Linked DNA regions of Oryctolagus cuniculus. The protein of the gene in region 5 interacts with the protein of the main gene of each other region in a pairwise test. Links are inferred from orthologs where the notes say so. Each region holds a gene or a part of one and is shown on either strand. Other genes may lie near its edges.

Evidence for each region.
Region 1: the proteins of GRN (region 5) and C21H22orf39 interact in binary tests that used the Homo sapiens proteins (3 or more experiments, as listed by UniProt). The link is inferred for Oryctolagus cuniculus from reciprocal best matches to the Homo sapiens genes GRN and C22orf39.
Region 2: the proteins of GRN (region 5) and FAM131C interact in binary tests that used the Homo sapiens proteins (3 or more experiments, as listed by UniProt). The link is inferred for Oryctolagus cuniculus from reciprocal best matches to the Homo sapiens genes GRN and FAM131C.
Region 3: the proteins of GRN (region 5) and FAM76B interact in binary tests that used the Homo sapiens proteins (3 or more experiments, as listed by UniProt). The link is inferred for Oryctolagus cuniculus from reciprocal best matches to the Homo sapiens genes GRN and FAM76B.
Region 4: the proteins of GRN (region 5) and ARFGAP1 interact in binary tests that used the Homo sapiens proteins (3 or more experiments, as listed by UniProt). The two-hybrid records come from large-scale screens. The link is inferred for Oryctolagus cuniculus from reciprocal best matches to the Homo sapiens genes GRN and ARFGAP1.
Region 6: the proteins of GRN (region 5) and NLK interact in binary tests that used the Homo sapiens proteins (3 or more experiments, as listed by UniProt). The two-hybrid records come from large-scale screens. The link is inferred for Oryctolagus cuniculus from reciprocal best matches to the Homo sapiens genes GRN and NLK.
Region 7: the proteins of GRN (region 5) and GLRX3 interact in binary tests that used the Homo sapiens proteins (3 or more experiments, as listed by UniProt). The link is inferred for Oryctolagus cuniculus from reciprocal best matches to the Homo sapiens genes GRN and GLRX3.

Annotation. Positions count from the first base shown.
Region 1 is NC_091452.1:27,283,293-27,287,437, reverse strand, and holds the start of C21H22orf39 (synaptic plasticity regulator PANTS), read left to right. Parts: upstream 1-1,345; 5' UTR 1,346-1,509; coding exon 1,510-1,536; intron 1,537-1,652; coding exon 1,653-1,820; intron 1,821-3,801; coding exon 3,802-3,930; 3' UTR 3,931-4,145. UniProt on the Homo sapiens protein: Negatively regulates long-term potentiation and modulates adult synaptic plasticity. Stabilizes the interaction of RTN4 isoform A/Nogo-A with its receptors, inhibiting clustering of postsynaptic AMPA receptors at synaptic sites.
Region 2 is NC_091438.1:153,577,352-153,580,746, forward strand, and holds the end of FAM131C (protein FAM131C), read left to right. Parts: intron 1-969; coding exon 970-1,152; intron 1,153-1,366; coding exon 1,367-1,477; intron 1,478-2,026; coding exon 2,027-2,289; 3' UTR 2,290-2,290; exon of another isoform or gene 2,291-2,516; 3' UTR 2,517-2,895; downstream 2,896-3,395.
Region 3 is NC_091432.1:87,210,554-87,214,678, reverse strand, and holds the start of FAM76B (protein FAM76B), read left to right. Parts: upstream 1-1,325; 5' UTR 1,326-1,618; coding exon 1,619-1,705; intron 1,706-2,525; coding exon 2,526-2,590; intron 2,591-3,433; coding exon 3,434-3,488; intron 3,489-4,125. Other genes in the region: CEP57 (centrosomal protein of 57 kDa), read right to left, coding at 378-422. UniProt on the Homo sapiens protein: Negatively regulates the NF-kappa-B-mediated inflammatory pathway by preventing the translocation of HNRNPA2B1 from the nucleus to the cytoplasm.
Region 4 is NC_091442.1:570,702-574,975, reverse strand, and holds the start of ARFGAP1 (ADP-ribosylation factor GTPase-activating protein 1), read left to right. Parts: upstream 1-1,474; 5' UTR 1,475-1,629; intron 1,630-4,274. UniProt on the Homo sapiens protein: GTPase-activating protein (GAP) for the ADP ribosylation factor 1 (ARF1). Involved in membrane trafficking and /or vesicle transport.
Region 5 is NC_091448.1:18,943,000-18,947,168, forward strand, and holds the start of GRN (progranulin), read right to left. Parts: upstream 2,801-4,169; 5' UTR 2,648-2,800; intron 581-2,647; 5' UTR 574-580; coding exon 436-573; intron 364-435; coding exon 238-363; intron 113-237; coding exon 28-112; intron 1-27. UniProt on the Homo sapiens protein: Secreted protein that acts as a key regulator of lysosomal function and as a growth factor involved in inflammation, wound healing and cell proliferation. Regulates protein trafficking to lysosomes, and also the activity of lysosomal enzymes.
Region 6 is NC_091448.1:43,824,361-43,827,860, forward strand, and holds part of NLK (serine/threonine-protein kinase NLK), read left to right. Parts: intron 1-943; coding exon 944-1,153; intron 1,154-3,500. UniProt on the Homo sapiens protein: Serine/threonine-protein kinase that regulates a number of transcription factors with key roles in cell fate determination. Positive effector of the non-canonical Wnt signaling pathway, acting downstream of WNT5A, MAP3K7/TAK1 and HIPK2.
Region 7 is NC_091446.1:2,025,041-2,028,540, reverse strand, and holds part of GLRX3 (glutaredoxin-3), read left to right. Parts: intron 1-1,140; coding exon 1,141-1,180; intron 1,181-1,271; coding exon 1,272-1,364; intron 1,365-3,500. UniProt on the Homo sapiens protein: Together with BOLA2, acts as a cytosolic iron-sulfur (Fe-S) cluster assembly factor that facilitates [2Fe-2S] cluster insertion into a subset of cytosolic proteins.

The DNA.
Region 1 (4,145 bases), on a different chromosome or scaffold from region 5:
TCCAGTGTCAGTCAGTGAGGAGCAGAGATGGTCGCGCTGCTTCAGGCTCTGCCCTCTGGTGCAGCTGCCACTTTGTCACTGACAGCGGCCATTGCTGATTCTGGAAGGCATGAAGGCCTGCAGTGACCTCAGGGTCCCTAGCAGAGGTGGAAGCCCTCCTTGGTGGGTGGGGCGGCCTCCAAGTGCAGGATTGCATTGGCTGGCAAGTGGCCATTTTGTGCATAATGAGTGGAGGTAGGCCGGGCCCTGGGTTTCTGTTTTCACCATGCCACCCCTGCTGTGTGCATGCAATGAAACCCTCCCTTTTCCTTCCCTGGAGGCACAGTCCCCTTCCTGGGCAGGGGGAGACCCCACTGTTGGGCCGTTTAGTTTTGGCCCTGGATGTTACTGCTGCAGCTTTCCTCTCTGTCCTCCCTGGCACTTGGACAGTGAGGTAGCACGTCAACAGCCAGTCTCGTGGTAAAACCACAGCTTCCGGGGACCAGCGCTCTGGCACAGTAAGTGAGCCCCTGGCTACCCCACTTCTGATCCAGCTCTCTGCTGATGGCCTGGGAAAGTGGTGGAAGATAGCCTAAGTGCTTGGGCCCCTGCACCTGCATGGGAGACACAGAAGCAGCTCCTGGCTCCTGGCTTAGGTTCAGCCCAGCTCTGGCCATTGTGGCATGAACCAGTGGATGGAACACCTTTCTCTACGTAACTCTACCTCTCAAATAAATACATCTTTAAAAAACAAACAAACAAAAAAACCCACAGCTTCCCGAGCCACCTTCCATGTTGCTCCTGGGGTTTCCCCAGCCAATGGTTCTGTTCACAGATGTGGGAGACCCACAGCACGGGTGTCCCGGGGAGCTTCTACACGCCCGGCCCCTTCTGTACTTGGCCTCATTGTCTCTGTGCTGATGGCCCACGCCCTCAGGAAAGCAACCCTGGCCACCCCAGCTGTGCCAGACAGCCAGCTCCGGCCAGCTCTGATGGCCCTTGGTCCCAGGACATGCGTCACGCCCAAACAGCCTCGGTCACTTTGCGAGCGCCACTCTACCCTGAGTGGACACCATGGCGACACCACTGCAGCTGAAGACCTAGGGGGTCAGCTGGCGCAGAGTTGAGCTGTATGTGTTTGCAGAAATAAATCGGATCTTTGAGGTCAAGGAAGATAACAAAGCTGCCAAAAAGATCTGGCCTGAACCATATCCTTGCAGCCAAATCAACGTGGCTTCGCTGCCCCCAACGCCCGCTGGTCACCAGGCAGGTGCCTGCTGCCCGCCTCGGGACACGCCCTCCCATCCGCCCCCTGTGGGGACCCGCCTCTTCGCACGGCCCCGCCCCCGGCTGTGATTGGCTGTTTAGTACAGGCGTGCTGATTATTGGTGCCTTTCAAGGAGGCGAGCGAGGAGTTCGTCGTCGTATCTTAGAGTTATTGGCTCTTCTGTCCATCCATCAGCCAGCGCCGGCTTTCTTCATGCCTCATTGGCTGACGGGTGAAAGCGGGGATTTGGTAGTGGCCCAGACATGGCTGACGGCGGCGGCGGCTGGCAGGTGAGTGTGGTGGGGGTGTCGGGGACGCGCGGAGAGCTCGGCGGTCCCGGCGGCCTCTCCCAGGGAAGGGCAGGGCGGGGCGGGGGAGTCGCTGAGGCCTGGCCTCTTCGCCGCAGCCGCCGCGCCCCTGTGAAGCCTACCGCGCCGAGTGGAAGCTGTGCCGCAGCGCCAGGCACTTCCTGCACCACTACTACGTCCATGGCGAGCGGCCGTCCTGCGAGCAGTGGCGGCGCGACCTGGCCCGCTGCCGCGACTGGGAGGAGCGCCGCAGCGCAGAGGCCCAGGTGTGCGGACGGGGCGGGCGCCGGGCGGCCGGCCTCCCTCACTCCCTCCCTCCCCGCCCCGGCCTTGCCTTCTTGTGAGAAATACCCCCAGAAAAGTAGTCCTCGGACGGCGTCGGAGACAGCGATGGGAGGACCGCGCGGTGTACCCCACCGCGTAACCCAGGCCCGGAGCGGGGAGGGAGCGGGCTGTAGAGGCGTGGGGTGAGGTTGCAAAGGCGCCAGGGACCTGGTGGGCTTAGGCGAAGAGTTCGGAAGTTTCTCTCCTCAAAGTGTGCTGCCATACGAGCCAGCTCCCACACGAGCACTGGCTCCAGCCACCTGCAGCGCCAGCTCCCATACGAGCACTAGGTCGAGCCACCTGCAGCGCCAGCTCCCATACGAGCACTAGGTCGAGTCGCTGCTCCACTTCCGGTCCAGCTCCCTGCTAATGTGCCTGGGAAAGCAGTGGAGGATGGCACAAATCTTTGGGCCCCTGAACCCATGTGAGAGACCTGGATGACACTCCTGGCTTTAGCCTGGCTCGGCTCTGGCCATTGTAGCCTGCTGGGGAGTGAACCAACGGATGGAAGCCCTCTCTTTCTCTAAGTCTGTAATCTGACTTTCATATAAGAGAATCCAGGAAGGGAAGAAGGGAGGGAGGAAGGAAAGAAAATGAAGACAGTCCCTAAGTGAAAGGAAACAAAACAAAAGAGGGAGAAAGCTTGTAGCCTGTATGGCAAGAGATGGATAACATGTGTGTATGTGTATTTGAAAGAGCACTTTTCTATCAGTAAGAAAACTGGGTGGATTTTGGAATTTAAGAAAAAAAATGAGCAAAAGAAACAAAGAAGCAATTCACTGAAAAAAGAAACCAAATGTAGGCAGGTAGGCTAGTTAAAATGACAGGGAGAGTGGCTTTTGGCCAGCATGAAGTCAGAAGTGTGGATAGGGTTTAGTTAGTCCTGGCTACTTGTATAGTGCTGGTGGGGGTGTATGGTGTTCTGATGGCCCAAATGTCAAAGGCGTAGTCTTAACTTCTGGGATTTTATCCTGGGAGAGGTAAGTGGATAACATTACAGTTAGGACATTACAATCTGCATTGTGCCACTGTTTTTGACAGTACAGGAACTGAAAGTGACCCAAATTCCACTGGCAGACGTTCGACCAGATAACTTTTCCACACAGTGGGGTAGAGTCATGTCCCTGGGCGTGGGCACGGAAAGGTGCCAGCACCACATTGTTCAGGGAGAAGAGCTGGAAGTGGACTACTCAGCAGAGGCGCACCCCACCTGGGGGGCACCAGCGAGAGCGCTACTTTCTGGGTGTTGGTGAAGCTCGCTGCTCACCGCCACGTCCAGGGTGGATGTCTGGGAATCTTTTGTGTCCTCCTTTACATTGTTTACCACTTTGTAAATGAGAACAACAACAACAAAAAACATTTCAAACAATAGAGCTTGAATGCAGACAGACAGGTGGATAGGTGTACTCGTGTGTGTGATGAGGCCTGCCGGGCACCTGCCACCCACCCACCAGGGGCCCACAGTGGCAAGAGTCAGCCCGGCCATGACGCCCTCCCGCTGCGTGTGTGCTGGGCGACCACTGCCCAGGGAAGCTGCCGGGTTGCACAGCCCCGTGTCTGTGGTCGGGACTCCCCCTGGTCTTGTGCTTCATCTTCCTCCCTTCTGACCACACTTCCCCCTGCAGTGCCCCCGGCCCTCAGCCCAGGTGAACCTGCCCCAGACTTGACCAAGGCAACTGAAGCCACTGAGTCCTGAGACCCAGATGTTTTAAAATCCCTCATGTGTGTGAACATGGAGCACTTGCTAGACTATATTAGATGCAAGAGGCTGGCCGAGCAGCAGAGTGCTGGGTCCCATATGCCCCCACTTGTCCATCAGTGCTCAGAAAGGTGCTGAGAAGACGGGAGGCACAGGGGCCATGGGAGGGTGCTTGCGGACCATGAGGCCACGTGCGGGGACGTGACCAGGGTGTCTTTTTACAGCGATCCCTCTGTGAGAGTGAGCGGGCGCGGGTCCAGGCCGCACAGAAGCACGCCCTGGTGTGGACTCCGAGGCAGAGCCCTCCTGCAGACTGGCACCTCCCTCTGCCACAGGAGGAGAAGGACGAGTGACGGGCACCCCTCCACCCTCGGCTGGTGTGGCTTCATTGGATCTGTGACCAACCCCGTCTAGTGGGTCCTGCCTCCTCCCTCCCGGCTCGAGACACAGAGTGGGACGCAGGCAGCCCGACCTGTCCACTCTTCACTGCCTCAGCGCTCCCGCCACTGCAATGCTCTGAAAGTCAAGTGCACCCACCCCACAGCTTCCAGGAAGCCAAGCACTGTGG
Region 2 (3,395 bases), on a different chromosome or scaffold from region 5:
GGATGCTGGCCCTGCAGGCCGGGGCTTTAACCCACTGCGCTACAGCGCCTGCCCCAAGCAACATCTTAACTGAGCCAAACAGCTGCCCCTGATGCAATCCAGCACTTTCTACCACAGGCTCCAAGTGGGACTTTGGGCGGCCCGAATCTCCCCGATGTTGCCAGGCCTGGTCTCCCTGCCCCTCTGCCACCCACGTCCCCTTGGGGCGGCCCGAATCTCCCCAATGTTGCCAGGCCTGGTCTCCCTGCCCCTCTGCCACCCACGTCCCCTTGGGGCGGCCCGAATCTCCCCGATGTTGCCAGGCCTGGTCTCCCTGCCCCTCTGCCACCCACGTCCCCTTGGGGCGGCCCGAATCTCCCCGATGTTGCCAGGCCTGGTCTCCCTGCCCCTCTGCCACCCACGTCCCCTTGGGGTGGCCCGAATCTCCCCAATGTTGCCAGGCCTGGTCTCCCTGCCCCTCTGCCACCCACGTCCCCTTGGGGCGGCCCGAATCTCCCCGATGTTGCCAGGCCTGGTCTCCCTGCCCCTCTGCCACCCACGTCCCCTTGGGGTGCAGTCTCCAGCAGACCTGAGAAAGATGTGGCTGTGCAGGACTTCGCTGAGGGACAGCTCAGGAGAGAAGCGGCAGGGAGTGAGGGGCGGGGACAAGGGTGAGAGCTCGGTCAAGAAGGACTGGAGGGTGTGGCCAGCGTGGAGAAGGGGGGCGTGGGCTCAGAGTGGGGGGCATCTGAGCCCAGGGGGCCGTGCAGCCCTGGGAGGCCCTGGGAAGGGAGGGGTGGGAGGGACTGGGTGGGCCCTGGAATCCTGTGGGGCACTTGGCGGGGGGTACAGGGCATCCCCCGTACTCAGGCATGGATGGATTGGGGTACGGGCCACCTGATGACCCTGAGGAGAGCCTCCAGGGGTTGGGAGGCAGACCTGAGCAGGGTGTAACATCGGGACGGTCCCCCAATGTCCCCAATGCCCCAGGGGTGGTGCAGAGCATCAAGGACCACATGACCAAGCCCACGGCCATGGCACGGGGCCGCGTGGCCCACCTCATTGAGTGGAAGGGCTGGAGCGCCCAGCGATCGGGCTGGGAGCTGTCCCCGGCCGAGGACGAGCGCTACCACTGCCTCCCGGATGAGCTGCGGGAGGCCCGCTTTGCAGCAGGTCAGCGGGAAGGGGGAGGGGAGAGGGGGCCCGGCCGCTCTGCAGGGGTGGAGTGCGGCCTCTGGGAGCGGGGTCACTGTATGGGCACCATGTGGGTGGCAGAGAAGGCACAGGGTGGGTGTGGCTGGGTGTGATTGGCAGCCCCGAGAGGTGGCCCCTCAGCCGGTCTTGGTGCCAGCGCTCCCCCCACCTGCCCATACCCCACTGTCCCCAGGGGTCGCCGAGCAGTTTGCCATCACAGAGGCCACACTGAGCGCCTGGTCCTCGCTGGACGGTGAGGAGCTGCACCTCGAGACCAGCCCCCAGGACACGGATCAGCTCCAGGGTACAGCCCGGGGGGCCTGGGCTGGGGTGGGTGGTGCAGAACTGAGGCCAGAGGCCTGCGGCCACCCCAGGCTGTGTGAGGCGGGCAAGACCCTTCCTTCCCCAGCTTTCGTTTTCTCATCTGTACAATGGACCCACTGCCCAGCGGGTGCCACCCACATGGGGAGAGGGGGTGATGAGCACTTTCTGCTTGCAATGTCCCTTACTGCGCTGTGGCACTGGGAGTAGGTCCCATCGTCCCCTTCTTACAACTAAGGCAACGGAGGCACCAGGAGGCCCTGAAGCTCACCCCAGGTGACACAGCCAGAGGGTCAGAGTGAGGATGTGAAACTGGGCACCGGGCACAGCCAAGCACCTGGCCCCAACCCTGTACCCTCCCTGGAGTGGCAGAGAGGAGGTGGACACAGGGAGGTTCAGGGGCCTGGCCAAGGTCACACACTGGGCAGCCGCAGTGGGGCGTGGGGTAGGGGTTGTGGGCGGGCCATCCTCCCACCTGGAGGGGCCACTATTCAGGAGCCCGGATGCATCCGCCCCCCTATCTGCTTTGCAGGCCTGCAGGACAGCTTCCTGAGCGGCCCATCACGGGATGACAGCCTCCTGGCCTTCTCCTCGCCTGGCCACTCCCCTGATGAGTGGCCCTCCCCCTCTCCCCTCCCCCCTGCCAGCCCCCAGCCCCCCAGCCCTGAGCAGCAGCACCGGCAGCGGCTGCCTGGGGGCCTGGGGCCCGAGGCAGGGGGCTGCCTGCAGGGGTCGCTCCCCTCGGTGGACAGCGGCTCCCTCTCCGAAGAGGAAGACGAGGTTTTCTATAACTGAGGTGGGGGCTGCACGGGGCCAGCACCTGCCCACACCGTGACCTTGGCCAGTCCGTAGCCCAGGCACATCTGGACTCTGGGAATGCCGCTGGGCAGCTCTCCACCTCTTGGGGCAGGCTCAGGGAGGAGGCGGCAGGGATGAGGGCTGGCGCTCCTGTGGGTCACTCTGTGCTCCGGTGGACCCGGCCATCAGAGGCAGCCTGAGTCCCCCTTCTCTGTCTTTCCCAGGCTCAGGGGGCACTGCCCCTTGCCCCTTGTCTTCAGGGAGCTCAAGGACAGCGACAGATGCTGGGGCCATGGCCCCCAGAGACGCTGCTGCCAGGATCCCAGGCCGATGGCCTCGTGGGGACAGAGAGACCCAGTAGGAGTGGGGCTGGGGACCCTGCCTTGCCCTGGGCTCAGTCCCCCGCCTGTGCACCTGCTCCCTAGGGAAGATGAGGTCACCTCCCTGGAGGCACAGCCCCTGCTCATTGGCACCTTCAGAGCGTCTCTGTGTCTGGAGTGTCCACCTGGCTCTCCCCGTCCCGAACCTGCTCCCTCGGTGCCCCCACTGCCACCCCCGTCGTCCTCACGGTGCCCTGGTATTAAAGCGGTGGGTTCACCTGCATGCACTTGGCTGGTCTTTGCTGGGGAAGGCGGGTGCCTGGGCCCCTGGGCAGGGGTTCTGGAGGCCCCATGGAGTGTTAAGTTTAAGAGACAGGTCTGAGAAGGCTCCAAGACACCCGGTCAAGGTAGGGGAGCCATTTGTTGTGAGAGCAGCAGAAGGTGGAGGAGGATGCGAGCCACCTGGACAGCAGACGGGGTTCTGAGAAGGCTCAGCCCCCTGAGTTGCGGGTGGCCATCTTTTTTGGCTCCTTGCCTGAGCAGGGCCTCGAGTTCTTGCAGAAACCCACACCTACCGCAATAAATGGACTTGGAGGAATAAAGCCCCTTGGCCAGGGCTGGTCAGAGTCCGCAGTGAACTTTCATCCGCCCGTGGCTAGGAGGGAGCCTGCAGTCTCAGGCAGTGAATACCGGGGTCATGTTGCTTTCATCAGGTGTGGGATTAGCCATCTGTGTCTCAAGGCCCAACATGGAGGATGCCCTAGACACTGGACGCCCCAAGGG
Region 3 (4,125 bases), on a different chromosome or scaffold from region 5:
CGCTCTCCTAGACACACGGGCGCGCACACCTGGTCTCGGCGCCTCGCTAAGAGCAGCCGTTACACTCACGTGACCTCAGCAGCAATGTTTTCGCAGGCCAGGGAGCGGGCGCCGTCAGCCCAGCCCAGCCTCCTGGGCTGCGAGGCAGGCCGAAAAGCGAATGAGGCGGCAGGGGGGTCGAACCAAGCCTGCTTCAAGGGATCCCAGAGGGTGCGGCCTCAACAGGGAGCAGCGGAAGCCCGGGTGGCGCGGGGCGGTCTAGTGCCCCACGCCGGCCTCCAGCGTCAGAGCAAATCTAGGGCGCCCTGAAATGGGACGAAACTCGAACAGCTGCCAAGAGCGACCTAAAGCCCGTTCGAACGCCAAACGCTTCTCACCGAGAACTGAGAACCAGAAGCCGTAGAGACAGATGCCGCCGCCATCTTCCGGAGTGCCCGGCGCTCTGAGTTCTCGTGCTCTTCAAGATTCGAGAGCCGCCCACCAGGGGCGACCCTAAACCGAACCCCGGATGGAAGGGGCGGGGGGTGCTGGATGCCCAGCTTAGAAACCCCAGCCACACACCCCCACGGCGACGCCCACGCTCAGGGCGCACGCGGAGAGGGCAACACGCATTAACGGACGTCTGCAGTAGCCAATCAAATAAAGCGGACGTCTTCGCGTATGCGAGAGAACCCGCCCCCCTGCTGACGTCACAAGGTAGAGAGTCACTGAGCGCGCCCGGGACCCGTAACTGCGCGCCGCCGGGGCCTCAGGGCGTTCTACCCAGGGGCGGGTCTTCCCACGGAGGGAACTGGGGCGAGGGGATTGTGTGGTCGCCAGTGGCAACGGAACTGAATTGTTGAACTAGAGTAAAGGCGAATGCGAAGTCCAAACCACTCCATCACGTCCCTTGGATCAAACGCCTGAGAAAACCTCAGTTTGAGTTGGGGACGCCTCTCCAGGTGAAGTACTTACCTTTTGGCCAATAACATAGGATTGGGCGGGGCTTAGTGATTTGGCCCAAGAGAAGTCAAGGGGAAAATGTCGAGGCAGGGCAAATCTTTCGCGAATCCTTGCCCAATTGGATCGGGGCTCCCTCACCCAGGCCTCGGACTGGCTGCTAGGGAGCGCGGCGACGGGGACCTTTGGGCGGGGCTGGTTTCAAGCGGGTTTCGCGCGCTGAGAGCGCCGGGCTGTCATTGGCCGGCGACTTCCTCCCTTTGTGGGCGCGCTCTGCGTAGTTGGGGCTCGGCGTTGGGAGGAGCGACCGGGTGACGTAGTATCCGCTGCAGCCAATCAGGCGTGCGGAAGGGAGGCCGAGAAGGAAGCGGATCCGCGGCCGTGCAGCTGAACCGCCCCGAACTCTCGGCGTCGTCTCCCTCCGCCGCTGTCGGGGCCTAAGCGGGAGAGGCGGGGACGGCCCCGCTGGGTGGGCTGGGGCGGAAGTGGAGGCGGAGGGAGACGACGGCGGCGTCGTCCGCGGGGCCTCGGGCTCTCGCGGCGAGGCCCTGGTGGGCGCGAGGCAGGGGGAGGGGGCGGAGGAGGAGTCCGCAGCGCGGGCCGCGGCGGCCGAGTTCCCCGTGGGGCCCCGCCTCGGAGCGGGCGGCGGCGACGGCGGAGGAGGAGACTGAGGGGCAGGATGGCGGCCTCGGCCCTGTACGCCTGCACCAAGTGTACCCAGCGCTATCCCTTCGAGGAGCTCTCCCAGGGCCAACAGCTCTGCAAGGTCCGTGGGCAGCGGGCTGGCGGGGTTTCCTGTGCCGTAACCCGAGGGTGCTGGGTGGTCGCTGCGCTGCAGCCCCCTGCTCTTCACGAGCACCAGGGGGCTTGGGAGCCCGGAGTCCTAGCCTCCCCACCGGGACCCGGGACCCCGCGTTCCGATGGCGTTGGCACCGGCCGGGAAAAGGCCCACGAGAGGGAGACCGTCTTCCAGACGGGCCGGGAGGGGGCCGGTCCTCACCAGCGTCCGGGGGTCTCGGGTGGGGCTGAGTGAGGCAGCCACCTGTCTCTGCCGCAGAGACTCTGGGGTGGAGATGTTTTCATCTCGGTGTTCTGCCTGGTCTGTCCTCGCCTTCCACCAGGAGGCAGGGGACGGTTTTTGCACTTTCTTGCTAGGAACCCGAAGCCGCCAAGCTGATGGCATCCTTCTTCCCTGTCCAGGAAAGCGAAGCGACTGGTTTGGGAACAGAATGCTCTATGATTTGGAGCTCCTCCCATCCCATTAAAGCCGGAATGCTGTCTGTGAGCAACGGTGAAAATAAGTAGTTCCACATTTAACCAATCCTTGAAATCGGCCCTGACAGCTTTCTTACTTTATCCGGAGTATAGTCCCACGTGTAATAAAGACAAAGACACCTCTGCCTTCCCTAAGGAATTATATCGTGATTGGCCACTTACATGACAAATCACCAATTGTTTACGTTAGGGGCCAGGTTTTATTGTTGTTCTAGACATCTGACCAGATTTGGTAATAATTTTCTACCAGAAAAGTAAGGTTTGGGACTTGGAGATATCTACATACTGACTAACGTATTGTCTTATTGCAGGAATGTCGGATTGCACATCCTATTGTAAAATGTACTTACTGCAGATCAGAATTCCAACAAGAGAGGTTTGTACATCAGTTTTTGATCGTTAAAGACAGAATACCATCTGGAAGGAGTACTTGGGGGTTGTAATCTGGTATTTATATCATCTTAAAAAATGGTTTAGTCTCTGAGACTTTGAGTTGTAAATGTTTTATATGTGGTAGGAGAGAATATAGAAAATGAAACAGTGGTGGTCATTTTACTACCTGAACTGGACGTGGAAAAATAAAGGCTAAGATACTAGTGTGGAAAATGTGCAGCCATGCTAAGAAGAATGGAAGGGTGAAGATTACTGTTAAGCTACAGAAGATAGCGTGTGAATGGATCTGAGGACAGGTCTACAGTGTTATCAACTGCCTTATTTTGATAGTGAAATCTGGTAACTTGGTACCAGTAGAATTGCATACTTTTTAACAAGTAATTCCGGGTTGGGAGCACTCAAGAAGGTAACCTAGGAGAAGTGCAGATAATTTCTAAATAAGTAGAGATGGTCATTGTAATAATAGACAAAGGCCATGTGGAAGATGAGGTAGGCAGGCACTGATACGTAATGCTGTGCATTAATAATGGCAAGTGTGGGAAGGTTGTCCAACTAGAGAGGAAACTCTAGGATTTTGTTTTGTATCCTTTAAAAAGCACACAATAAAAATGTGTAAAAACATCTGTGTTAAGTTAATGGAAAAGGAATAAATTGGGGTAAAATAGCCCAAATAAGAACTTTGTGTAGGTATTGTTAAAAAGTGAAGGTGTATTACAATTTTAAGTATCATAGATATTTGACTCATCAGTTTACTTAGTTCATCATTGTGCGGATCATCTCAGAAGCTTACATAAATATGATCTTTCATACGTAATTTCTTTTTCAGCAAAACTAACACAATTTGTAAGAAGTGTGCTCAAAATGTGAAGCAATTTGGGACAGTAAGTATGTCTTCTATTTTAATTTCCTATTGTTACTGATCAGTTAAGGTTTATCCCAAAGGTGTACTGCTTAAAAAATATGCATTGCTATATCTGTGTGTATTTTAACATGTCAGAATACTTTATGAAAATACTTTCTGTAGACAGTCTGATGGAACGTTCACAACATTTAAAAACAGTGGAAATATGCAAATGTTTTATGTACTGTATTTTAAATTTCATGTGCAAGTCACAGTTACTGTTTAAAAGCTATTGTTTTAGAGATTCAAATATAGCAAACTCCTGGATAGGGAGAGCCTACTTGTTTATAAAGTTGGTATAATCAGACTTCCCTGGCAGCACAATTCAGGTATTTTTTGACAATGCTCATGACATTCACCTGGTAAAGATTGTCCTATATAAGGGCACTGCAGAAAGTTTAGGGAAAAATGAAAATTAAAAAATGCACATTTTCTGTCAACTTTCTGAATATTTTAGTCATTATTGGTATGTTATCCTGATATTAGTTAAGGTGCTGAGTTGTCTGTCAATATTGAAAAAAATCAGAGTGTAGTTCTTAAGGTTGAAGTTTAATATCTTGTGCCTGTTTTTTTAAGTTGAAAACTACCTGTAATGTTGTGTTCTTTATATCATCTGT
Region 4 (4,274 bases), on a different chromosome or scaffold from region 5:
GCTGCGGCAGGGGCGCGCGTGGTGCACAGCCCCACAGACAGGGGCCCGTCCACATGATGGCCGCTCCCCAGAGGGGACGTCGTGAGCCCCCGCCGCCCCTTCAGGGCAAGCAGGTCCAGGTGGGCACAGAGCCCGGGGGCGGGGCTGCCTCCGCACCCTCAGGGCTCTGCACCGGACAGGGGCCTGAGGGAGGGAGTGGGTCCTTTGGACGAAGGACCCGCTGTCCCGTGCTGCTCCTTTGGAGGCACCACCGGCCTGGCATGGGGGAGGGGAGCCCCATTCCTCCTCTGACCAGGTAGGCCTGGATCCCCAGACCACACGGTCCCCTCCCGTCGGCCCCCTGTCACGGAACTTCCCTCTTTCATGGTCATCACAGGAGAGGTCAGGGACCCAGGCTGCCCAGGCAGGCAGCCCTGGGCCACTCTGTGGGACATATGATGCTGACCGTGGCCTCCTGCTGGGAGCCTCGCACCTGGCCCACCTGTTGGCGCGGTCTGATGACCCCCAGGACACGGGAGGATGGCTACTTCCAATGGAGCCCCAGGGGTCTTGGCCACTGCCTGGAGGATGCTGAGGGCCTGCCTGGTCCACAGCCCCCTAAACACCTGTGGGAAACGCCCTGGGGCGGAGATGGGCGTGGTGCTTGTCCAGGTGAGCTTACAGTCCCCAGGGAGACCCAGGGCTCCTGTGGGTGGGGCTCTGCCAGCTGACAGGAATAGAAAGTCGCCTCAAGGGGCCGGTGCCGAGGCGTAGCCGGTAAAGCCGACGCCTGCAACGCTGGCACCCGTGTGGGCATCAGTGCCGGTCCTGGCCGCTCCACTTCCAACCCAGCTCCCTGCTATGACCCGGGAAAGCAGCACACGATGCCCCAGGTGCTTGGGCCCTGCACCCACGTGGGAGACTGGGAGAAGCTCCGGGCTCCCGGCTCCAGCCTGGCCCAGCCCCTGTCATCTGGGGAGTGAAGCAGTGCAGGGAAGGTGATCTCTCCGGACCTCCGCCCTTTAAATCAGTACACCTGTCAGGTGAAAGGCGCCACCAGGAAGGTGCGCCCACAGAGCTCCATCCCGGGCGACAGCCACGCTGAGACCGGGTGGACACCAGCGGGCAGGCCACGCTCACGGCCAAGGTCATTGGCACTTGCCAGCCCTGAGTTTAACTCCTGCTGTAGGCGACGACGCCACCACACAGTCAAAAACAAAGCAAAAGCCATGGACAGCGAGAGGTCACCAAGCCCACAGCTTCCACCGCTCACCTGCCTGGGCCTGGAACCTGAGTGGCGTCCACTCCGCCCCACGGACCCGCGCAGGGCACCCGGGGACCCACCCGCTCTCCTCCTCCGGAGACCCCGACCCGCGGGGACACCCCGCTCACGGTGCCCGGGACCCGCCCCCGCGCAGCCCCGACCCTCCTCCCGCCCGGACCCCGGCGACCACAGGGAAGGTGCGTCTCCATGGCGACCGGCTGGGGTGGCGGCCGGAAGTCCCGCCCCGCCGCGCTGACAGCCTCCCGTGAGGCCTTGCAAAGCGCAACGTTGCCGGAAGCTGGTGGCCGCGGGGGGCGATCCGCGCGCGGTGCGGGTGGCGGAGCAAGCCTGTCCTGGACCCCAGCCCCGGCCGGCCTCTTCTCCAGGTGAGCGCGCGGCCCAGTCCCTGGCGCGGGCTCCCGGCCCTGTCGGGCGACGTCGCTGTCGGGCGCGCGGGGCCTTCCCGGGCGGACCCCCGCACCCCTTCCCTCGCGAGCCTGAGTCCGCCCGCGGTTCCAGGGGCGCCGCCCGCCGCGGCTCTGCGTGGGCCCGGTGCCGGGCGGGGCGCAGGCTCCGAGGCCGCGGTCCGGCCGCAGGCGCCCGCGGAGTGGCAGCCGCCTTGCCGGCCCCCGCGTTGGTGCGGACGCTGGTGTTGCGGGAGAGAGGGCGGGGGCGGGCTCCTCACGCGGCCTTTCGCGTGCGTGGGCTTGCGGGCCAGGGCGGCGGGACGACCCTTCCCGAGCGGCTGGCGCGGTGCGGGGCTTCGGGGCGGCGGGGGCCGGGCTCGGGCGCGGGTCCTCGCCGCGTGCGGTGTTCCGAGCGAGACGGGCACCCGCGTTCTGCCCCGCAGGAGGGGACATCGGGGTCCTTGGACGCTCCGGAGAGTGGGCGGGGGCGGCGCGGAGGGCGCGGGGGCTGCGGACGTCGGCGTGGGCCCCGGGGGCCTCCCTGAGCCGAGCGGGGCCTCGGCCGTGCGCGCGTCCCCGCCGCAGCTCCCTGCGTTCCTGCGCAGGGCCGTTTGCACGTCGGTAACATCAGCCTGAGGATCGGCCGCTGTGGCGATTGCCCCAGCCCTGGCCTAGGACTTCCCGACCCCTCGCCCAGGCGCGCGCCCTCAAATGCGCCCCGGGCCCCCGTGCGGCCACTGTGACCGCAGACCTGGCGAGCGGTGCCAGCCCAGGCCCGGCAGGCAGGAGGGTGCGGGCTCCGCGCAGGAGGGTGCCCGGCGCAAGCTTGGTTTTCCCCCTTGGACCCCAGAATCCGGTGTCTGTTTCCTAACTTCACATGGCGTCAAGCTGGGTGCTGGTGCAGGGGTCAGGGGTCAGGCCGTCCTGAGCCAGAATGAAGTGGGCGGGTCCATCGTGGTTCTGTCTAAGCTGCGTCTGGACAGGAAGTGGCACCTGCGGGCTGTCTGCTCTCTGGGTGCCGGTGTCCTCGCAGCCGGCGTTGCCGTGTGACTAGGAGGGGACACGGCAGGGGCCACACGGAGTGTGTGTGTGCAGGGGGCTGAGGCCCAGGAGTGTGCGGGACCAGGCCGGGCTCACCTCACCAGGGGTGCGCGGGACCAGGCCGGGCTCACCTCACCAGGGGTGCGCGGGACCAGGCCGGGCTCACCTCACCACGGGTGCGCGGGACCAGGCCGGGCTCACCTCACCAGGGGTGCGCGGGACCAGGCCGGGCTCACCTCACCACGGGTGCGCGGGACCAGGCCGGGCTCACCTCACCATGGGTGCGCGGGACCAGGCCGGGCTCACCTCACCAGGGGTGCGCGGGACCAGGCCGGGCTCACCTCACCACGGGTGCGCGGGACCAGGCCGGGCTCACCTCACCACGGGTGCGCGGGACCAGGCCGGGCTCACCTCACCAGGGGTGCGCGGGACCAGGCCGGGCTCACCTCACCAGGGGTGCGCGGGACCAGGCCGGGCTCACCTCACCACGGGTGCGCGGGACCAGGCCGGGCTCACCTCACCACGGGTGCGCGGGACCAGGCCGGGCTCACCTCACCAGGGGTGCGCGGGACCAGGCCGGGCTCACCTCACCAGGGGTGCGCGGGACCAGGCCGGGCTCACCTCACCAGGGGTGCGCGGGACCAGGCCGGGCTCACCTCACCAGGGGTGCGCGGGACCAGGCCGGGCTCACCTCACCACGGGTGCGCGGGACCAGGCCGGGCTCACCTCACCACGGGTGCGCGGGACCAGGCCGGGCTCACCTCACCACGGGTGCGCGGGACCAGGCCGGGCTCACCTCACCACGGGTGCGCGGGACCAGGCCGGGCTCACCTCACCAGGGGTGCGCGGGACCAGGCCGGGCTCACCTCACCAGGGGTGCGCGGGACCAGGCCGGGCTCACCTCACCATGGGTGCGCGGGACCAGGCCGGGCTCACCTCACCAGGGGTGCGCGGGACCAGGCCGGGCTCACCTCACCATGGGTGCGCGGGACCAGGCCGGGCTCACCTCACCATGGGTGCGCGGGACCAGGCCGGGCTCACCTCACCATGGGTGCGCGGGACCAGGCCGGGCTCACCTCACCATGGGTGCGCGGGACCAGGCCGGGCTCACCTCACCAGGGGTGCGCGGGACCAGGCCGGGCTCACCTCACCAGGGGTGCGCGGGACCAGGCCGGGCTCACCTCACCAGGGGTGCGCGGGACCAGGCCGGGCTCACCTCACCAGGGGTGTGCGGGACCAGGCCGGGCTCACCTCACCACGGGTGCGCGGGACCAGGCCGGGCTCACCTCACCAGGGGTGCGCGGGACCAGGCCGGGCTCACCTCACCAGGGGTGCGCGGGACCAGGGCTCCACCCCTGCCCCCAGCTGGAAGCTTGGATTGTGTGAGTTTTCTGGTTGCGAGTCAATCGGCCACGCGCCGAAGCCAGTGCATCCTTAGGAAATGAGAAGTTTTTCTGCTGGACCTGGGCCTGGCTGCCACTGTCCCTGCTGGTGGTCACGGGGGTCCTGCTGCGCCCAGAGGGAGCTCAGGGTGGCCCCTCGAGGACCTGCCCCAGACCCCCAGGCTGGCCTTTCCACACCGA
Region 5 (4,169 bases):
CGGCCCTCCCCTGTGCCCCTGCCGCACCTGCCGCCCGGAAGCAGGCTCGCCCATCCGCGCTGCAGTGGAAGCCCCGAGGGCAGCAGTGACGGCCATCCGCGCAGGACACAGCCTGTGGGACACAGAGGCGCCTGCGTCGGGATGGCCCTCCTACCCGAGGGGGCGGGGGGCGGGAGGCAGGCAGGCAAAGTGCAAAGGCAGCTCCGAGCCCCTCCACTGCATAAGCGGTGCCCTCACCTCCGGAAAGGGGCAGCAGCTGGAGGTGCCCGAGACGGTGAGGACGCAGGAGGCGCCGTGGGTGCAGTGGGCACCCACCTGGCAGGGTCTGCCCAGACGCCTGCTCAGTGTCGGGGGCCATTTGTCCTGCAAAGAGAGGCCAGAGAATAGACCGAAGGCCTCTGCCCGCCTTGGGAAGGCTCTTAGCCGGGCACTCACCGGCACGTGGCTGCAGCAGCTGTAGCCGGCTCCTCCAGGGTCCAGGCAGCAGGCCTCGGGGCAGCGCTGACCGTCGGGGCACTGTGTTCCAGCGACCAGCCCTGCCATGACGGCCACCCAGCTCACCAGGGCCCACATGGTCTGCCTGCGAACACCAACGGGCACCTGTCAACCAGCTGAAGTCCAGGCCGCCTCAGAGTCTGAAGCCGCTCGCTCAGGCAGCCCCAGGCCGACGTCCAGGCCCGGGAGACCTGGAGCCTGCCTCCCAGCTCCGTCCCGACGCAGAAACGTGTGGCTCGGACGCAGCTTCCTCCCTGTGTGTCATTGCATGTTCCAAGCACGTGACACTCCTGCGTCTCCGTGTGCGAGTGTGCAGACGCGGGCTTGTGAGACGCAGTGTGGATTCTGTGGATGTGATGTGTGGAGACGTGGGCCACCTCGGGGGGGGGGGCTCAGGGCCAGGGGAGAGGATGGGGCTGGGGTACAGGAGGGGCTTCTCCAGGAACATCCAAGGCTCCCCACTCCTCAGCCAGTCCTCCCAACGCTGCACCCACACCTGCCCTTGCTGTGGTCTCGCAGGGCCCAGTGGTCACTTCCTGACACGGACGCCACAGGGTTAAGAAAAGTTGTGAAACAGGAAGTGGCAGCCAGTGGAGACTCGGGTGTCTTCCCCAGGGCTCCCTCACTGCTGCCCGCGGCGGTCCCCACCCCACCCAGGACAGGAGACACGGAGGCAAGGGCAGCTTCCAGATCCCTGTGTGCTGAGGGCCCCCAACACCACCAAGGGCCCTGTCAAGTCCCCAAACACATCACCCATCCCCATGTCTCCTCTGCTGGAAATGAAGCAGCCACATGTGGGCAGAGGCTACTGCGCCCGCTGGGCGGCCCATCTGAGTCAGCGGGAGGAACCGGCCACAGGCTCCTGGGGGAAGCCGCCTCCTGCTACCCACACAAGTCTTTCCCCGGGCTCGGGGCCTGTGCCGCCAACCCAAGAAGCGCTACCCTGCCTCCCGGCCGGGCCGCATGCCTGCCGGGGCACTCCTGGTTGTTTACTGCTTTGCAACCATCATCCAGCGTGAGGAGCACGACCTTTACCCTCAGAGGGAAACTGGAGCCCGAGGCTTTATGGCAGAAGTCCAGCCCCGTGCCAGCTCCAGTGAGAGCGGGCCCTGATGGCTCAGGGCACGCCGGCCCGGGAAGGGACCCCAAACCATGGGAGGGGTGGGCCTGGGGTCCAGGCACAGGCAGGGAATGGAAGTGTTTCCTGCATTTGCTCAAGTACCCCCCCCCGGCCCCCCACACACCTGGAAGGCCACCCCCTGGCTCTCGCGGCCGCAGCCTGGTCCTGGACCGAGCCGCCTGGTCCTGGACCGAGTCCCCAGGTCCGCGCTCGCCCCTCAGCTCCCGGGCAGAGCCCGCGCAGCCGCCTGCACCTGCTTCTCCGTGCCCAGCCCCAGCGCAGGCCGCCAGGTGGGGGCCTGTCTGCCCGGGACTACCCGGCGCCCGTGACCTAGCTGTCGTATCTTCCTCGCCCTGTATCTGGAGTGGGGGGAGTGCAGTGCACGCTCTGGCGAATCCACACGCACGCAGGCGCGCACAGCCCCGGCGATGGGGCGAGGGTCTCCCTCACCCCACCCTCACCCCCGGCCCGGAGAGGACGGAGCCTCTGTAAGCCCCTGGCACCTTCCGCTAAGTGGCACTCCCAACCCCAGGGCCAAGGGGCCAGGAAATTCCCCAAAAGGTGAACTGCGAAGGCGCAGGAAAAAGTGGCGGGGAGAGGCGGAAGTTAGCTCGTGCCGCCCCCCGGCAGAGGAAGTTGGGGAAGAGCCAGACTCCACCCGGGGGTTCAGTCACCTCTCCCCTGTCCCGCTCCAAGCCCCTCTGCGCCCCGGGACAAGCGGCGGGCGGGCGGGCCTCCCCTTCAGGGACCACCCCCCACCCTCACCGCCAGAAGGGGAAGAGCCGGCACCTGCCTGCAGGCGGTGGGGCAGGCTCAAGAATCGGGGGGACTGCGGCTCCCGGGGTTCTGGGAGGCAGAGAAGCCCCCTCGGGTGGGGGTGTCTGCAGTGACTGCTTGCGCCCCCTACCCCCGTGCATCAGAAACCCCTAAAGGAGTTTCCACAAGCGGCTCTTCTCTCGCCTCCGGGCTGAGACGCCAGAGGACCCCTAAGCCCACACCCCCCTCCAAGCCCCTGCGCCGCCGCCCTGCTACCTGCGTCCGCGTCCGCGCTCCCTGGGCAGCAGCCGCGGCTCCCCTCACGGACGCCGGCCCCTCAGCGCGCTGGCCCACCCTCCTCTGTTTCCATTGGCCGGGGATCCCAGATACCGCGCCCCCATTGGCTAGTCCTCGACGTAGAGGCGGGGCCAGCCTGGAAAGCTGTGTTTCTTTTTCTCAATTCAGCCTCCTCCTCCCCTTCCTCTCTCTCCCCACACCCCATTTTCTTGGGATCATGTGATTGGGGAATCATATGACGCCTCGGCCGGGGCTGCCGCTGCCAGCCTCGCAGCCAGCCGCGTGCCGCCGGCGCCTGGAGTTGTGTGCGGGAGGAGGGGCCCGCGTTATTTGTGGACGCTGACCGCCGGCCGGCCGCGCCTCTGCGGGGCGTTCGCGGGCGTTCGCGGGCGCTGGGCGGCGGAGCTTTGTGCACTCCGCTTCTGTTCTTTGAGCCGCCTCGCGTTAAAGGTCGGGCAGCCGAACCCCGAGGGGAGATGAGGGATGGCTGTGGACGCCGAAAGGGGCAGCTCCCAGACCCTCGCCTAAGCGGCCGGGTCAGGCTCAGCGCGCGTGCCGGGTGCCGTGGAGGTGCTGGAGGGAGAGGAGCGAGGGTGGCTCACGCCCGAGAAGGAGGGATTGAAGTCGGCCGTGGGAGCAGTGGCTCGAGCTGAACCCGCGAGGACCTGGGTCGCAGCGGGGGCGGGGCGGGGCGCTGGGAGATCGCACAGGCCCGGAGCCAGGGGGGCGCCCGGCGCGGGTGGGCAGCGAGGGCAAGTGGCTCCTAGCTTCAGTCAGCTCTGCCTTCCAGGAGCGGACACGGCGAGTGAGGAGAGCAGAGATTCCCCAACGGGGGCAGTGTTGCCCACCGGGGACGTTCGCAGCAGCGTCTGGAGACGTCTTGGGGTTGTCACGGCCTCAGGGGTGAGGGGTGTGTTCGCCTCACACCGGGCGTCTTTTCTGTTAGTTTGCACACTTTTTAATGTTCTCGTTTCCCAGCAACAAGCAGTTTTGAAAAGATCGGGGGCTGTGTGCATTGAGGCTTCTAGAAGCGGTCGCACAGATTAAGAGCATTCAATAGGAAAATGGCAGAAGGCAGACTTCTCACAGAAGAACTTAGAAGTCCAGTGCGCTGGGGACGTCGGCGATAGAGGCACAAGGTCCTGGATGCCCTAAGGCGGCCCTCTCCAAGGCCGGCAGTGAGGCTGAGCAGCCGTGCCCTTGCCCTGATTGCTGGCGGCAGGAAGTGTGCAATCGGTTTGCAATGAGCTTGTCCAGTGGTTGCAGCGAGCCCGCGGCACTTCCACGCCCAGGGACAAGGGGACGTGAGAGGCAGACGTCCGGGCTCATGGAAACGTTTGCCACCGGGGGTCAGGCCCGACGCGTCCCTTCCCCGAGCCTCCCACGGGCCCCTGACCAGGCCTGTGGCTCCCTCACCCAGCCACCCTGGCCTCCCTCCCTTTCACGTTTGCTATCACTCCCTCCATCTCCGCAGACCGTTCTCTCCTCCCCCACCTAGGCA
Region 6 (3,500 bases), about 25 Mb from region 5:
TTCTCGTGCTCGTCCTGGGAAGAAAATAGAATATTTTTTTTAAGATTTATTTACTTATTTGAAAGAGTTACAGAGAGAAGGAGAGGCAAAAAGAAAGAGAAAGAAAGCAGTCTTCCATCCACTGGTTCACTCTCCAGTTGGCCACAATGGCCAGAGCTGCGCTGATCAAAGCCAGGAGTCAGGAGCTTCTTCCAGGTCTCCATGGGTGCAGGGGCCCAAGAACTTGAGCCATCTTCTTCTTCTTCTTTTTTTTTTAGAAATTTTTTTTGTTTGTTTTTAAGATTTATTTATTTAAAAGTTACACAGAGAGAGGAGAGACAGAGAGAGAAAGAGATCTTCCATCTGATGGTTCACTCCCCAACTGGCCGCAATGGTCGGAACTGCGCCAATCCAAAGCTAGGAACCAGGAGCTTCTTTGGGTCTCCCACATGGGTGCAGGGTCCCAAGGACTTGTGCCATCTTCCACTGCTTTCCCAGGCCAAGCATAGAGCTGGATCAGAAGTGGAGCAGCCAGGACCTGAACCAGCACCCATATGGGATGCTGGTACTTTAGGCCAGGTTGTTAACCTGCTGCGCCACAGCACCAGCCCTGGGCCATCTTCTATTGCTTTCCCAGGCCATAGCAGAGAGCTGGATTGCAAGTGGAGCAGCTGGGACACTAAACGGTGCCCATATGGCATGCTGGCACTGCAGGCGGCGGCTTCACCTGCCACGCCATAGCACCAGCCCTGTGGGAAGAATTTTTTTAAGATACATCATTTTATATAGAAACAGTGATGTTTGAGACCAGATTATTTATTGATATAAAGTATTTTCTACCTGTATCATTGAACTTTAGAAGTTCAGAAGTCTACCAAGTTTTTGGCGTTTTGCTTTGTTTTTGCTCTTCCATTTGTAGCTGTAGTTTCTGCTCGATAATATTTTGATTATCTTTCCTGTTTAGATTTGTGATTTTGGATTGGCCAGAGTTGAAGAATTGGATGAATCCCGTCATATGACTCAGGAAGTTGTTACTCAGTATTATCGGGCTCCGGAAATCCTGATGGGCAGCCGTCATTACAGCAATGCTATTGACATCTGGTCTGTCGGATGTATCTTTGCAGAACTACTAGGACGAAGAATATTGTTTCAGGCACAGAGTCCCATTCAGCAGGTATGATTTTATTTTAAGGCTTTAGTAACTTTTCAGTTCTATTACACACATGTCTTGGGCTCATTCACTGTACTGTCAAATTTGCTTTTAGCAAATTCCAGTTCACTTAAAATTCAGAATTTTAGAAAGTTGAAGATTACAGAGAGATTCATTTGCAAGTTAGAAGCCTGTTGGAAATGTTGACTTTATTAAATGCAGCAGTCTCTGCAGTAACAGTTTGCACAGGTGTAATCTGCAGTTGTCAGAGAGCTTCTGTTCTTTCTAGCTGAGTGAATGTATCTGGTGACTTAATGTACTTACACTTTGTGCTATAAATGTGAAATTTATAATGCTGATTATTTATAAAATAAGATTTATTTGTTTTATTTGAAAGGCAGAGTTAGAGAGAGAGAGAGAGAGATGGGGGTGCGGATCTTGCATCTGCTGTCTCACTCCCCAAATGCCCGCAACAGCCAGGGCTGAGCCAGAGCAAAGCGCTTCAACTTCACCCAGGTCTATCACATGGGTGCAGGGGCCCAGATACTTGGGCCGTCTTTTGCTACTGTCCCAGGTGCATTAGCAGGGAGCTGGATCAGAAGTGGAGCAGCTGGGAATTGAACTGGTACCCACATGGAACTCCAGCGCTACTGACAGCTGCTTAACCTGCTACACCACAGCACTGGCTCAATGCTGACCTCTGTAAATCTGATCACTGGAGAAAATTTTCTAACTTTTTTTGTTGAGCTAAATTATTTGTGGGAGAAGACATCAGGAGATAATTAAAATGTTTCCTTAAGGAACCATGTTACTTTATCTTTATATCTAATTCATTTTTATGCACATTGTCTTGGGATAATTCCTAAGTGTTTTTATTCACAAATTTTAGTAATATTATTTACATGGAAATAATGTAACAACAGTGAGCTCAGGCTGTGGAATTAGATTGGTAGGTTCAAAACCTAGCTCTGTTACTTCCTACCTATTAAACCTTTGGTGACTTAGTTAACCTCTCTGAAGTGGTAAAGCTGAAACTAAGGCCTTTATATGGTAAGCACTCATTAATCATTAGCAATTATGTTGATGGTAGTATGCCAGGATGCTCGGGTACTGTGGTAAGACAGACAAAGTTACTTTAATCCTGCCTTTGTAAAACTTTCAGGTGAGACTGAAACTAAGTAAATGTGCAAATAGATATAGTCCCAAGTAATAATAAATTTCATGAGGAAAACTTAAAAAGTTTAGGAATAAACAATGATGGGAGGGCAGAATGACCCTAAAGGATTATATGAGGGAGCATCATGCTGTGGAGGAGTGTTCCAAGAAGAGGGACAGCACAAGCAGCATAAAAAAGTCCTGAGGCATGAACAGCTGTGTCCTGTTGGAGGGTGGAATGATCAAAGAACAGCCTGTAGGAGATGACAACATCAGGGGCCAGCACTGTGGCATAGCGGGTAAGGCTGCCGCCTATGGTGCCGGCATCCCATATGGGTGCCGTTTTGAGTCCTGGCTGCTCCACTCCCAGTCCAGCTCTCTGCTATGGCCTAGGAAAGCAGTAGAAGATGGCCCAAGTCCTTGGGCCCCTGCACCCACATGAGAGACTTGGAGGAAGCTCCTGGTTCCTGGCTTCAGATAAGCCCAGCTCCGGCCCTTGTGGCCAACTGGGGAGTAAACCAGTGGATGGAAGACGTCCTCTCCTCTCCTTTTGCCTCTCCGTCTCTCTCTCTCTATGACTCTTTCAAATAAATAAATCTTAATCAAAAAAAAAAAAAAAGGAGATAACATCAAGAGAGGGAAAGGGCCTGACCCTGGTGACCTGATAAGGACTTTGTATTTTATTTTGTGATGGAAAGATAGATGAAAGCTTTGAACTAGGGAGTGTTAAGATTTGATTGATCATATTTCAAAAGATCGCCTGGCTACTATGTATCTTTATAAATAATTCATGTACTGGACCAGAGATAGAATAATTAATTCTACCCTCTTTGTCCAACAAATTATTAACTAGTTTGTTAGAAACTATATATGCTGTGATGAACATTTAAATTTGTTTCTCTGTCATTCAAAATCTATTTTTTAAATATTTATTTTTATTTTATTTGAAAAGCACACAGACAGAAACAGGGACAGATAGAGATCTTCCATCTGCCAGCTTACTCCTCAAATAAAACAGCCAGGTCTGGGCTAAGCCAAAACCAGGAGCTCAGAACTCCATTTACATCTCCTGTGAAAGTGATAGAAACCCAAATACTTGAGCCATCATCTGCTGCCTCCTAAGATGCACATTAGCAGGAACTGGATCAGAAGCAAAGTAGCTGGACTCAACCCAGGCACTCTGATAGAGGATATAGGTGTTCCATGGAAGTTTAGG
Region 7 (3,500 bases), on a different chromosome or scaffold from region 5:
ATTTTTTTTGAGTGTTCCTGTGGGCAGTTTTCTTTGGAACTTGTTACTAAGTAAACAAGATTTCCGTATGAATGCAGATTCCCTTTCATAGGAAGTGTAGTTATTTTTTATGCGTGGTGCCACTTCCCCATCCTGCTCTGTGAGCATTAAAGAGCAGCTGCGTAGGAGGGCTGGGGCCAGGAGTGGGCTGAGCGCACTCAGTGCTGGGCTCCAGAGGTCGGTAGGCTACAGCTGGCCGCAGGCTTTGTGACTCGGGTGGTGTGGGAACACACACGCACCCTGCAAGTGGGCGCTGTGGCTCTGGCCGTGGCTGTGGCTATGGCTGTTCTATACCCTGTAACAGAACTGAGGAGCTGCAGAGTCTGGAATGTTCACTGTTGGCCTGTGAGAGCATGTTGCTAGCTCCTGATCTACCCCATAACCCCCGTACGAGGGAACTTAAGAGAGTTCAAGGGAAAAATGGGAAGTCCGTGCATTTTTTACGATGTGCATTTTCTGTGAGCCTTCTGAACACTTTTTTTTTTGGTAAAGATTTATTTATTTGAGAGGCAGAGTTACAGACAGAGAGACAAAGAGAGATCTTCCATCCGCTGGTTCACTCTCTAAATGGCCGCAACGGCTGGAGCTGAGCCAATCCGAAGCCAGGAGCCAGGAGCTTCTTCAGGTCTCTCACGTGGCTGCAGGGGCCCAAGCACTTGGGCCATCTTCTACTGCCTTCCCAGGCCATCAGGAGAGCTGGATTGGAAGAGGAGCAGCCGGGACACGAACTGGTGCCCTTATGGGATGCTGCTGCCACAGGTGGAGGCTTAGTCTACTATACCATAGCTCCAGTCCTTTGACCACTTCTTGTATGCATGAATTTCAGAATTTTTAACATCGAAATTATCTTTTAATTCTATTTTCAACGAGCTTTTGAAGTACCCTTGTATTACCTAGAGAAGAATCCAGATCAGTTTGAATTGGGATGATTTACTCTGTGGGAGCAGACAGACGAGAAGTAAAGTCATTCTGTCGGTCTGTAGCACATGTTAGCAGTGGAAAAGTTGATCTGCTTTTCTGGACTGTGTTAATAACATCAATGGGTTTTAGATTTTTGTGTAAAAAAACTACTTCCTGTTGAAATGTTTTTCCTTTTTGCAGTATTGAATATGAAACCTTCGACATACTGGAGGATGAAGAAGTAAGTTTTGTATTTTGTGTTTTGTCCTTAGTCTTGGTTTTAACAGTCAGGGTATGACAGGAAGGCTTCAGGGTCCCTGTTGTCTGTTTAGGTTCGGCAAGGGTTGAAAGCGTACTCCAGCTGGCCGACGTACCCTCAGCTCTACGTGAAGGGAGAGCTTGTGGGAGGACTGGATATTGTCAAGGTAAGCTCCTCATCTGCTGTCCTGAGAACTGGAGACCTGGGCGCCTTTGAAATCCACGCTTCACACTGGGTGTGGACCCTGGGCCCATCTCTGGGTGCATACTCTGGGCCCATCTCTCTGGGTGCATACTCTGAGCCCATCTCTCTGGGTGCAGACCCTGGGCCCGTCTCACTGGGTGTGGACCCTGGGCCCATCTCTCTGGGTTCAGACCCTGGGCCCGTCTCACTGGGTGTGGACCCTGGGCCCATCTCTCTGGGTGCAGACCCTGGGCCCGTCTCACTGGGTGTGGACCCTGGGCCCATCTCACTGGGTGCATACCCTGGGCCCGTCTCACTGGGTGCGGACCCTGGGCCCATCTCTCTGGGTGCAGACCCTGGGCCCGTCTCTCTGGGTGCAGACCCTGGGCCCATCTCTCTGGGTGCAGACCCTGGGCCCGTCTCTCTGGGTGCAGACCCTGGGCCCATCTCACTGGGTGCATACCCTGGGCCCGTCTCACTGGTGTGGACCCTGGGCCCATCTCTGGGTGCAGACCCTGAGCCCATCTCACTGGGTGCATACCCTGGACCCATCTCACTGGTGTGGACCCTGGGCCCGTCTCTCTGGGTGTGGACCCTGGGCCCGTCTGTTCTCCAGCTGCTTGTTCAGTCCCTTCTAGCCCAGGGTGGGCGTCCCTGTGTGTACAGTGTCGTGTCCTCTCACTGCACTTGCCCTGCACTTGCCCTGCCAGACCCTCCCAGGCCCTCCTCTCTGCCCCCAGCGCCTCTTCACCACCTGCCGGCCAGAGTCCACTCTGCCAGGTTACGTGATTTTAGTTTCCCTTGTGCTGTACTCGGCCAGGCAGAGGTTCCTGTCGTATTTTCCTGGTTTTCGGCATTCCTCCACCATCCCCTTGGCTTTGGATTTTCTTACAAATTCTATATTTAAATCTCTTTTCTGTGTCTTTCAAGGCCAACCTGTCAGCGAATCAGTCAGATTCTTGCAGCCAGAAGCATTGCTCCTGCTGTTGAAGTTGCCTGTCCCTTTATTGCTTTGTTGTTAGCATTCTGGTTATTAGAATGACTGCTAGTCTGCACTCGAGTGCATGGAGCGGGAAGAGGAGCAGGAAGCCGTGGGCTACAGGCTGCTGGAGGCCTACAGCCGGCGCGGCCCCGCCTGCCACACCCAGAGCCAGGGTCGCTGGGCTTGGTCTCCTGGGGAAAGATGCAGATCCCTCTTTGCTTTTCAGATGCCAGGGAATCCTCGCGTCAGGTAGCGTGTGCGTTCTGAATCCTCGCGTCAGGTAGCGTGTGCGTTCTGAATCCTCGTGTCAGGTAGCATGTGTGTTCTGAATCCGTCCTGTTGTCCTGCCTTTCCTGGGGTGGATGAAGGGCTTTAACTTGCTCTATGTGAACTCTCAGGACTCTTAAGTGGACATGGCTTTCCTTATGTTTCGGGTCCAGGATGTAGGACGGCTGGCTTCTTCCCACCCGTGTGCATCACAGCAACACTGGTTTGTGCAAACCCATGTGGCAGCTGCAGCGTCAGTGCCTGGAAGCATCGCCCCTGCCCAGGCCCGCCCTGGACACTGGGGATGAGGAGGAGGACAGCAAGGGGCGGGGGCTGAGTGGGAGGTTGGGCTTTTCTGGAGAGGTGGGAGCCAGCGGTCACAGAAGGTGAAGGTGGGTGGCAGCTCCCCGGGGCCCGGCTGGGAAACTGCGTCCAGCCTGCCCCGGCTGCCTGCTTAGCGGAACAGGTGGCGCAGGCAGTGCCACCTCTGGTCAGGTCAGGAGCGGCCGTCCTGTGCTCCTGACCGCGGCTCCAGCCGTTTGCTTCGTGTGGCTGCTCCTGTGCAGCTTTGTCCCCGAGTTCCAGGTCTGATGTGATGCCTCTTAAAAAGGCCAGTGAGGCGTTTTCCTGTTTTCTTAGTAAACTATCTCACTCCTGGAGGGAGAACTGTACCTTCATAATGGCCCCAAAGCAACAAAAATAGATCTGCACTGGGTATTTTATGTATGTGTGTCCTTTGTAAGACAGTCTTCAGACCCCGGATTCTCCCAGCGTGTTCTTGTCTGAGTGTTTTATAGCCTGCACCTCCGCCATGTAGCTCTTGGGAAGACACAATCAATAAATCTCATTTAACTGTAAAAGCTGAGCTGC